Linked DNA regions of Caenorhabditis elegans. The protein of the gene in region 2 purifies or fractionates together with the protein of the main gene of each other region. This does not show direct contact. Each region holds a gene or a part of one and is shown on either strand. Other genes may lie near its edges.

Evidence for each region.
Region 1: the proteins of cit-1.1 (region 2) and pie-1 purify together in Caenorhabditis elegans (affinity purification with western blotting, with the first as the bait; one study listed by BioGRID). This does not show direct contact.

Annotation. Positions count from the first base shown.
Region 1 is NC_003281.10:12,425,018-12,429,856, reverse strand, and holds pie-1 (Pharynx and intestine in excess protein 1), read right to left. Parts: upstream 2,965-4,839; coding exon 2,680-2,964; intron 2,627-2,679; coding exon 2,519-2,626; intron 2,476-2,518; coding exon 2,350-2,475; intron 1,315-2,349; coding exon 1,226-1,314; intron 1,170-1,225; coding exon 770-1,169; 3' UTR 662-769; downstream 1-661. Other genes in the region: snr-6 (putative small nuclear ribonucleoprotein E), read left to right, coding at 243-298, 346-562. UniProt on the Caenorhabditis elegans protein: Maternally provided pie-1 is required for germline cell fate determination. Functions as a repressor of RNA polymerase II-dependent gene expression in the developing germline. Required for expression of nos-2 in P4 germline blastomere cells.
Region 2 is NC_003281.10:8,005,421-8,011,670, forward strand, and holds cit-1.1 (Cyclin-T1.1), read right to left. Parts: upstream 4,402-6,250; 5' UTR 4,383-4,401; coding exon 4,305-4,382; intron 4,255-4,304; coding exon 4,124-4,254; intron 4,069-4,123; coding exon 3,987-4,068; intron 3,938-3,986; coding exon 3,818-3,937; intron 3,690-3,817; coding exon 3,629-3,689; intron 3,587-3,628; coding exon 3,521-3,586; intron 3,471-3,520; coding exon 3,419-3,470; intron 3,370-3,418; coding exon 3,279-3,369; intron 3,180-3,278; coding exon 3,092-3,179; intron 2,708-3,091; coding exon 2,642-2,707; intron 2,583-2,641; coding exon 2,533-2,582; intron 2,484-2,532; coding exon 2,371-2,483; intron 2,297-2,370; coding exon 2,213-2,296; intron 1,843-2,212; coding exon 1,624-1,842; intron 1,169-1,623; coding exon 1,063-1,168; 3' UTR 513-1,062; downstream 1-512. Other genes in the region: C06G4.6 (uncharacterized protein), read left to right, coding at 1-62, 218-415; cit-1.2 (Cyclin-T1.2), read left to right, coding at 5,369-5,455, 5,769-5,893, 6,093-6,250. UniProt on the Caenorhabditis elegans protein: Regulatory subunit of the cyclin-dependent kinase pair (CDK9/cyclin T) complex, also called positive transcription elongation factor B (P-TEFb), which is proposed to facilitate the transition from abortive to production elongation by phosphorylating the CTD (carboxy-terminal domain) of the large subunit of RNA polymerase II (RNAP II).

The DNA.
Region 1 (4,839 bases), 4.4 Mb from region 2:
TTTTTTGAACGAATTTTCGAAATTATTTTTGTCGAGAAAATAGCCGATTTCTGCTCAAATTTGAAGTTTTTTGGCATTTTTTTTCGTTGAAATTTATGTAAAATGTGAAAAATTATGTTTTAAAGCCATAAATTGTAGTTTTTGAGCTTAAATAGCTGCTAAAATCGAGTTTTCTTGATATTTATCTTAAAAATTTGTGTCTTTCAAAAAATATATTGATTTTTACAGATCATCCCGCAAAAATGTCGACGAGAAAGCTCAACAAAGTGATGGTTCAGCCTGTGAACCTCATCTTCAGGTAATATTTTTTCACTAATCAGTAGAAAACAATTTCCCAAATTTCAGATATCTCCAAAACCGCACTCGGGTCCAAATCTGGTTGTACGAGGATGTCACCCACCGTCTCGAGGGCTACATCATCGGATTCGACGAGTTCATGAATGTCGTGTTCGACGAAGCCGAGGAGGTGAACATGAAGACGAAGGGACGCAACAAGATCGGCAGAATTCTTCTCAAAGGAGACAACATCACTCTCATCCACGCCGCCCAACAAGAAGCCTAAATCATCGTTCACTTTTCACGGATCTCTTTGTTCATTTTTCTGTCTCTGTTTCGCTTTCGCACCGTATTGTTCCAAGTTTTCAAGTTTTAATATGTCTTTAAAAAAAGTAAATTATTTTTGGCTTTTTTGGCACAAGTTCATTCACAGGACAAAGAGAGGGGGTGAGTGGATAAATATACAAAACAAAATATGGAAAATACGGCAAAATTAGGAAATAATAGTTGGTGGTGGCTGAGAGAAGAATCCATCGGGGAACACTTCAAACGCACCGCCCGTGGCATTCGGATCAATAGTCACATCCATCATGGGCATGCCATTCGAATTAATTGGTTGATAGTAGTATGTCGGTGCCATTGGTGCATACATTGGCTGGCTATTCATCAAATCATGTTGCTGTGGAATATATTGCACTGGAAAAGGAGCTCCTTGTTGAGCTTGCGGCGGTGGAGCCAAGAAATATGGCATTGGAAATGGCAGGAATTGTTGCTGATGTTGTGGATGATGATGGTAGTAGGCAATCGGCGGCGGACAATCGGAAGAAGGTGGCGCGTAAACCGTCGCATTCGCATTGAAATGTTGCATTTGTTCGACGTGAATGAAGCGGCATCTGAAAGGAAAATTTATTTTATTTATTTTTAATAAAAATTCCAGATTTCCTAGAACCTTGGACCATATCTGCAGTTTCCTCTCTCGAAATTGTGACAAATCTGACGACGATTCGAGCTTCCGTGGTTGTTGCTGGGTCTCCGATTCTGGAAGTAAAATATTGTAATATTTTCCCTAAATTTCACTTAAAAATAAGGATTTTTGCAACGTAAAACCTCAAAAATTCGCTGAAATTGACGATTTTTGTTCAAAATTTTGAAAAACAGGGTTAATTTTAGCTGAAAATCTTCAATTTTGCCAGAAATTGGCTTTTTTTCCGTCGCCACACGGAGAACTTGCCAAAAATGAAGACTTTTAGCCAATTTAGCCCTGAAAATTCGAGTTTTGGGCGATTTTTGGTCTGAGAAGCCGTTTTCGCAGTATATTATATTTTCTCGTTAAATTTCATTTTAAAATAAACATTTTGAACGTATAACCCCAAAAATTCGCTGCGCAATGGATGATTTTTGTCCAAAGTTTTGATAATTTTAGCTAAAAACCTCGAATTTTGGCAATTTTTCGTGCCGCATCGGCCGAAAGTTGACTTTTTTTGGAATTATCATAATTTAATGCACATTTTGGTAGTTTATCTCACATAATCTGTCTGCAGGCGGGAAAAATTTGAGATAAACTACTAAAAGATGCAAAACAAGGATGATAATTCCAGAAAATCAACTTCGGACCGTCTCGACACGGAAAATTGAGCGAAATTGGAGTTTTAAAATGATTTAGCCCTGAAAATTCGAGAAATTTAGGCGGTTTTGGGTCTGAAAAGGCGTTTTCGCAGTATTTTCTCGCTAAATTTCATTTATTATCACATAATATCAGTACTTAGGCGAATATCTTGTAGAAATGTTGGTTTTGTTCGATAATTCTCTACTTTTAGAGTCGATTCACGAGAAAATGTTGCACCATCTTACTTTTTTCCCTTGTAAAACATAGATTCTTCTGTACAATGAAAGAGAACACAATTTCTTCGTGAAGCAACTCAAAAAGTAGAGAAAATTCGAACAAAACCCAACATTTCTACAAGATATTCGTCTAAATAGTGATATAATGTGTTAATAAGCATATTTTAAATGAAATTTAGCGAAAAAACTGCGAAAATTTGTCAAAAAAGCGAATTTCCATCCGATCAGCACCTCATCATGATGCTTCGATGCTGAAGAACTCGATCGATTGATTGTTGTATCCACGTCGTCTCGTCTAGAACGAGAATCACGGCGCTCACGTGGTGGATCTCGGGAATAATACTCTTGGCGGCGTCTCTGAAAAAAAAATTTTCCAAAGATTTCCAGGCTTCAGACACACCGGAACTCTCAGCTCATCTTGTCCGTGAGCATATGTGCAATTGTCGTTGTACGGGCAGTATCCTTCACGGCGGAACGCATCACAAAGTCGCGTTTTGTATTCTGTGTGCTGGAAAAAAAATCGATTTTGCATATTTTTCAGTTTTTTTTTTAAATCAAAACCTTATCCTTCGCCGAGCTATGTCTTTTAGTTGCCGGCGCCTCGTCAATCTGAGCCAATGGAGTGATCTTGAGCGCTTCACGCTTTGGACGAAGCCATTTTCCACTATATCCGGACGACAGCGAATCATTGAATGATCGATTGATTTTCCGTTGATCTACTGAATTTTGAATTCTCGCCGGGCACGTCGCATTCAGAAGACTGTTCGATCGATCGGCAGCGAACGACGTGTCATCTGAGTTGTTGAGTGCAGCCATTTGCTCGGCAATCGGCTTTGTTTGAGCCATCTGGAAAAGAAAATTTGATTTTTAATTGTTTGGGAAACGAAATACTGCAAAAAGAAACCTAAAAAGTGATTGTAAAACTGAAAAAACGGCGAGAAATCCATTTTTGCCGCCGAATTTGGTTACGGTTGGTTTAAAGGCGCATGCCTAAAGTTTTATTTTCGTTGCGGGACTCACAGATTTTTAAAAACTTTTTCTTTATTTTTTGAAGATTTCTGTGTTTTTTCACTGATTATTTACAAACAAAGCTCAATTTTATGAAAGCTTTCAATGTTAAAAAATAAAATTATATTTAATTGAGAAGTGCTCCGTGCTGAATTTGGGGGCAAAAACTCAATTTATAGCGATTTTTATATAATTTCTTATAAAATAAAATTTTTTCAGATGTTTTGCAAACGAATTACTGCGAAAAGAAACGTGAAAAGTGATTTTAAAACTGAAAAAACAGCGAGAAATCTTTTTTTGCCTCCGAATTTGGTTACGGTTGGTTTAAAGGCGCATGCCTCAAGTTGTGCTTTCGTTGCGATACTCACAGATTTTTAAAAAAACCTTTTTTGATTTTTTGTTTGAGTTTTTCAACTTTTTCAAGCATTTTTCTCGATTTTTGATACATTTTTTGCTTTCAAATCCAATTTTAAAGCTATTTTTCCGATATTTTCATGTTTTTCACGCTATTTTCGATTCAAATGTGTCTTTTAATCGTTTTCCGTACGCTGAAGGTCATTTCTGTTGTCCTCACCAAACATTAAAATTACAAATAGTATCTCCCAAGCAAAAACGTTAAAAATCGCTTTAATTTTGATGAAAATTTTCCAGTATTTCCCAAATTTCGAACAAATTTTTTTTTCAGCAAAAAAGATTTTTCGGAATTTTTTTCTGAAATTTCCCAGATTTTCCAGTAGTTCACCCTTTTTCTCCAATGTACTCGTACTCCAAGTACATAAATATGTCGATTTTCTCTTCCATATCACTTTATGTGGCGTAAAGAATACAAAAAAACCGGTTTTTCACCTCCAAAATCGGGCTATATTCTGTGTGAATATACAAAGAGAAACAGCTTTTACATATGTCTTTTGACGCCATTTTTTCTCGATTTTATTTAAAGGTGGAAATTGCTTTAAAACATGCCTATGGGGACACAATGACCGAATATCATGATAAAAAAATTCAAAAAAATTGTCTAGATGTTATATGATTTTTTGAAAATTGAAAAAATCTCAGTTTTCACCTAATTATATTTGAATTACCGCCAATTGAACTCGTTGGTTGGAGCGCGCTTGCATTATTTTCATTAGTTATTTGAATTAATTTTCATTATTTCACTGATTTTCTTCATTTTTGGGGTTTTTTAATCGGAAAATGAAAGAAATATACAAGAAAAATGCAAAATCTTTATTAAAAAGTAACTGAAAATGCCTAAAACTCCGAGAAATACTAATTTCAGTTTTTAATAAACATTTTGCATTTTTCTTGTATATTTCTTTCATTTCCCGATAAAAAAAACCTCAAAAATGAAGAAAATCAGTGAAATAATGAAAATTAATAAAATTAATTAATGAAAATAATGCAAGCGCGCTCCAACGAACGAGTTCAATTGGCGGTAATTCAAATATAATTAGGTGAAAACTGAGATTTTTTCAATTTTCAAAAAATCATATAAAATCTAGAAATTGTTTTTGAATTTTTTTATTATGATATTCGGTCATTGTGGTATTACGGGAACATAAAATTCTGAGAATGCGTATTTCACAACATATTTGGCGCGCAAAGTATCTCGTAGCGAAAACTACAATAATCCTTAAATGACTACTGTAGCGAATGTGTCGATTTACGGGCTCGATTCTTGGAAAAATCCACGTTTTTCGAATTTTGACAGCG
Region 2 (6,250 bases):
ATACACCAAATGGACCATGTTACTTTTGTTGTTGTAAAGGGGGAAGTTGTAATAATCCTCAGGTACGTTATTTTTTCAGTATGAGAATGGTTATGTATGTAGTGTCTTAAATGGAATTCGAAAAATGTACTGTTAAAAACTACTGAAAATAAGAATTTGATTTTCACTTGCTATAACCCCAAGTTTGAATTTTTCAATTTCCTTATTTTAATTACAGATATTTGCTCGAGAAGCTTCGAAACTTCCAATAAATCAGCAACAAATGCAAACATACAATCCAAATGGATATAATCCATATTCAAGACAAAATTATTATCCAATTCCTTGGTATAATACAGCTTCTCAACCTTCCAATCCATTTTTCCTTATTGTCATTATTCTTATTATATTTTTAATTCTCTCGTATTCTGCTTAAAATCATCGTTTTTTTTTTCTAAAGATCTCTTTTTTTTATTTTATCCCCAAATCTTGATGAGATTCTCCCATTTATTGGTAATTAATTTTCAATTCAATTGTTTTAAAAACCATTCATTATGTACTAAATTTCGATAATGCTACAGTACAGAATGAAGATGAACAGAAAAATTGCAGTTTCAATTGATATAACTCGGAAACAAAACAAATGCCATGCAAATGAGAAAAAAATTTCACAGACAAGTCTCACAGTGAGAGGAGGAAAGAATCAACAAGGGATGATGATGATGATGAAAAATTGAATTTCTCAAGTGAGAAAAACTATTGAAACCGGTGGGTTTTTGTAACTTTCGAGGAATTTTGTGCTTAACGATGGGCGTAAAAAGAATACATTGAAATGCTAGGGAATCGGGGTTTCATAAGCTAAATCTTTTCAAAAACATATTTTAGAAAGTAAACAACAAAAGGAAATAAAAATGAACAGATCAAATAAATTAGCAAAGAAAGAAACGGTAAATGGGGGCAAGGCAGAGATTTTGTGGATTGATATTCAAATATTGAGCCAAAAATAGATAAAAATAAACATCTGTAGCTAGATTTTTGGATAAGAAAGGAGATACAACTAATAAAAATACGAACTAAAAATAATTATTCTAGTTCACCATCTTCCAAATCCATATCTGAATTATCAGCACTTTGGAGCTTTGGAGCAGTTGGTGGTGTAAGCATTGGAGCCACGTCGAATGTTCGAGCACTAAAATTAATTTTAGGTATTTCTAAAGAAATGTATACATTTTTATTTCAAAATAAAATGTTACATTCTCCACCAGCTCATTCGAATCTAAAAAATTTGTGGCAAAGAATCAATATTTTCTGAAGGTTAATAAAACTCAGTTAGGTTTTTAAAAATTTTAAGTATGATTGTTGCCTGATGAATAAATATAAATAAATAAAGTATGGTATGATAATTAAAATAATTTTTTAATTCGAAACAAATGGATCTCGAACAAAATTTTAAATTTGAAATTACGAAAAGTTAGACTTTTGAAAAATAAATCTTCTAACTTAAGCATTTTCTAGCTTTCCCAGGAAATGCCAAGAATCTAGAAAACAGTGATTTTTTAAAGCTGTCTAGGATACAACGTATTTTTTAAACCTATTATTGTATCCGTTTTTTAAAAAATAATATTGCTCTAATGAAATGTGTACCTGGGCACAAACGCTGGCGAAACCGAAGAATTTGTATGATTATTCTCATGATTCTTTCGATTAATCTGATTTTTGTGATTATATCCAGATGACACGATTGGTGGTGGCGGAAAATTAAGCTGTGGAGGTATTGGAGGTGGGGCCAATTTTCCATTTGATGACGATGATGAAGATACGAAATTGTTGGCAAGTGGATCTATTCGAGCACGCTTTTCACTACTGAAAATTCAATTAACAGTTATTTTTAAATGTAATTATTCACAATCTGAACTTTTTTTTTTGTAAATTGTTGATATTATACTAATAAGTATAATATACTTTGAAAAACATTTTTAATTAATAATATTCTGTGATACTTTATTTGTTCTAAAACATTTTCAAACAGTTTTCATTAATTTTCGATTTTTTAAAAAACAATTGACATAAAAATATGGTAACGTAAAATTTTAAATTTTAAAAGGTGAAACGAGATTCTAAACTTCAAAATGACCAATGAAAAAGTCTTGCATGCAATACTAGTTTTAGTAAAATATACTGTATGGTTTTCATTGGAGAATTTTTAAGACCCGTTTTAATATGAAAGCCGAACCTCGTTGAACTGTCAAGTTTTCCAGCCATTCGATCTCGTTCTCGTTTCCGACGTTCTTCTTCCACACCTCGTTCTTTGTTTAATCTGGAAAAATTAAACAAAATTGTTTTATTTTTAATATTCTTAGCTGGCTGTACTTATTTCAAAACAAATCTAACCTTTCAACTGTCAATTCATCTCTCGGAACGTATGCTCTCGGTCGTACATTTACTGTAGAATCAGGTACATGATGAACCATTGGACTATGACTTCTGGCATCTCTCGTACGATCCTGAATACGTTTTTTTGCATTTTCCTCGATATTTCTTAAAACAACTTACTAATTTCCGTACGTCTGGATTCTCCAGCATAGGACGATGTTCACGGAAGTCTGAAACTTTAATTGGAATGCATCAAGACTTAAAATTAATTTTTTTAAAAGTAACTTACTGAATTTGGAAGCATGGTGAAATTGACAGGAATTCCGATATGTTACAAGGAAATCTACTTCCATTTCTGAAAAAAAAACCATTTTTCATAAATATTTTAATAACATGTTGTCTTGCTTAAATAGGGATTTCGCTTTAAAAAAAACCAAAAATCGAACTTTTAAAACTGCTCCTGAGTACGCTCTAAATGATTTTTTTTTTAAATTTAAGCCTATTCTGGCAATTTCAAGCAAAATTCACGATACTCCACCGTAAATTCTATTTTTTTTAACGAAACTTTATACTTAAAAAAAAACTTTAAAATGTATTTTATTTCAAAAACATTCAGGATTTATTTTTACAGCTCAAAAACCTTCTCACTAAAAAATTGATTAAATTTCGAGCATCCATAAATCAAAATTTGATGCACTTTAAATGTCGTTTTTTTTTGTTAAATTCGAATTTTACGAACCTCTCAGCTTCTCGTTCGTCATTGTTTCGTCAAATTTCGCATACCACGGTGAATCTTCATTGATGAAATCGGCAAATAATCGCTCTATCTGAAATTTAGATTAATTGTTAATGATTATTTTACTTTTCAAAAATTTTTGGAAATCTTTCTCTAAGCAATTTTACTACCATTTTTTTCTAAATCTCACCCGGACATTGGCATAGGCTGCCATTAAATGAATAATTACAATAGACATTGACGCTGCAGAATATCGAAGTGACCAGTCTGTTACAGCTATTCTGAAATTTAAAAATTATTACATTTGAATTTATGATTTTGAAAACATACACGTCTGTGGCAAAATAGTAGGCGCAAGATGTCAAAGGTCGATAATGCTCTTCTGAAAATAATGTTCAGTTATTTGTTTTCTTTTCAAAATTAACAATTTACTTTTATCAACTTTTTTCATGATATCCAGAACATAAATATGAGGAAGATGAACGTTGAGATCGAATGCTGAAATTTTTATATTTAAAAGTAATCTGATAAAGTTCTTACCGATTGTCTGTAGAATCATGCTCTCCAGAAGAACAATAATTTGGGCTGCTTCATTCCTAGCCTGAAAAATCACGAAATCGGGTTTCTAAAGTTTGACCCGTGAAATTTGTATTGCAATTGTGCTTTCTAGTGTTTTTAGAAATACAAATAGGGGAAAAAATCTTTAAAAACCTTAATTTCTATACTCACAGTTTCCGTCGTCAATTGTTTTCTATCCTTTCGCTCCCGCCATACACTGATCACATGTGATAATTTTCTTGGACACTCCTGACTTTTACCCGCTAAAAATACACAAGCAGCACCTACGTCCTGAAATGGATTTTTAAAAATTTTTTCAATTTACGGATAAAGGTCTTACTCTATAATCATACTTTTTGAAGCTATGCAAATAATAAAAGCGATGCATATGTGTATGTGCAACGCAAAGACCCGTGTGACCGCTGAAAAAGCATTTTCAAGAACATTTTTTGATAAAGTTTTCGTTGTAAAAGTTACATTTTCATTTTTGGATCTTTAACATTGTTCAATCCATCTATCATTTCTTGGATGAACGCGGCGGCCATTTGTCGGGAGGCTAGTTCTTCTTCTCTGCTCATTCCTTCTTGAATGCTCGCTGTCTTTTTCATCTTAAAAATTCAAAATATTAATTATTGAGTTTTAATTCTAATTTTCGCACCTCCTCTTTGGTGAAGAGCCATTTGGTTGGCGCGGTCCGATGTGCTGGGGAAGCCGCGCCTCGACTCGACACCGACATCGCATTTGAGTTTAATTCTCTAAAAATCTGAATAAATTTCCAGAGTTCCCCAAAAAATTACACATTATTTGATTTTTCACTGTCATAAAATAAAAAATTCCGGTGAAAAGCTTCACAAAAATCCAGTTTTAATGTGAAACCTGGACGACACAAGCGCGCTCAAGCGGACGCGCTGCGTGTCGCGTCGCGGCAGGCAAAGCTTTTTTTCTGAGTCACCTACCCATTTTCAGCCGATTTTCAGTTAAATTTTATCGATTTTCTGTATTTTTCAAGCGTAAGTGTTGCATTATCACGTGCTTTTCAGCTCACATGTATTTTTGACATTGAACATTGAGTGAAAATCCTTTTTTGCATCACTAACACCATTTTTCCTTGTTTTCTGAAAAACACTGTTCATTTTTCGATTTCGCCGAAAAACTCTAACGTTTTTGTGATTTTTTAAGTAATTTAACTTATTTTGAACCAGAAAATCATAGGTTTGCCAAGATTTGCAACGGGTCCCGGGAGAAAATTACGTTTTTCTAGAGTGCTATTGCTAATTTTTATATTCTCGGATTTTCAATTTCTCAATAGCACAATTTGGATGTTCGTGTTTTATATGCGCTAATCAGTGGATCGATCTGTATTCGTGCAAATTCAGCTAGGTATTATCGAATAAAACCGTTCCAGAATTATGAAATATTTCGAAATTTAAGTTTATTCTGCTCATGTGATAGTTGTTTTCTAGTTTCCTTTATGTCTTGACGATTGTTCGGTATCCTGACCGGATATTGCCAGGAGATAATTCTGTAAATGGCCACTACGAATTTTTGTCTTTCCTAGGTAATATCGATTTTTGGACGCTGTCCCGTCGCTTATTCCTCCTTCTCCTCCCTCAGCAATTCCATTTCATTCATCGATTATTTGTATCTATTTATTGTTTTTATCGTGTTTCGTCGTGAACATTTGATATTCTTTTTTATATATTTTTTTCAGCATTGATCAGTATGTCGAATTCGAACAAATTGATCGCAGAGAAGAATGGGTCCAGATATGGCAGAATGATTCATCCTTGGCTCCGAAAAAAGCAAGATGTATGTTTTCTTTTTATTTTTCCAATTTATTGGTAAAAAATTTCCCAATTATCCAGAAAAAGTAAATTTTTGGTGGTTTTTCGTAAAATAATTTTCCGGGTCCTTGTGCTCGTACATAAAAACTCTAACATATATTTTCATCGAATTGTATTTAGTACATGCTGACATTAGAATTTTAGGAGATTCCACCAATCGGGGAACATTTGAAAACGAGCAACACTAAAAAAAATTCACTGATGGTTGTTCAAAATTTTCCAGCATTATTGGGACCTAATCGATAATACCGTTCAGTGTTCAAATGTTTAATTTTTAGATGTTGGCGGACACTCCAAGTCGACGAGAAGGAATGACATACGAGGAGGAGCTGTCAAAACGACAACAAGGAGGAGTCTTCATCTTTGACATTGCCATGCAATTGACACATGGCAAAGGAGAGCAGTGAGTGCAGTGATAGGATAAAGATTTAGAATCGAGTGAATTTCAAGTGAGGCGAATTGTAAAATTTAGGATTTAGATGGGTTCATATAGTTTTACAATTCATAAAAACGCCATCTCTTGTGATCATTTCTTTCGCTTCCTAATCTTTTCGAGACAATGTCTTGATTCTCTCCTCATCGAGCACTGCGATATATTCCAGCGGTCTGAGTGGAGTGGCGGCAACTCTGTTTAACCGATTCTTCAACGTTCACTCGCTCAAACGGTGTGATTTCCGAGACGTGGCGGCAGCATGTGTCTTTTTGGCAGGAAAGAACGAAGATGCACCCAAGAAGCTGAAATATGTGGTTACACAACTGT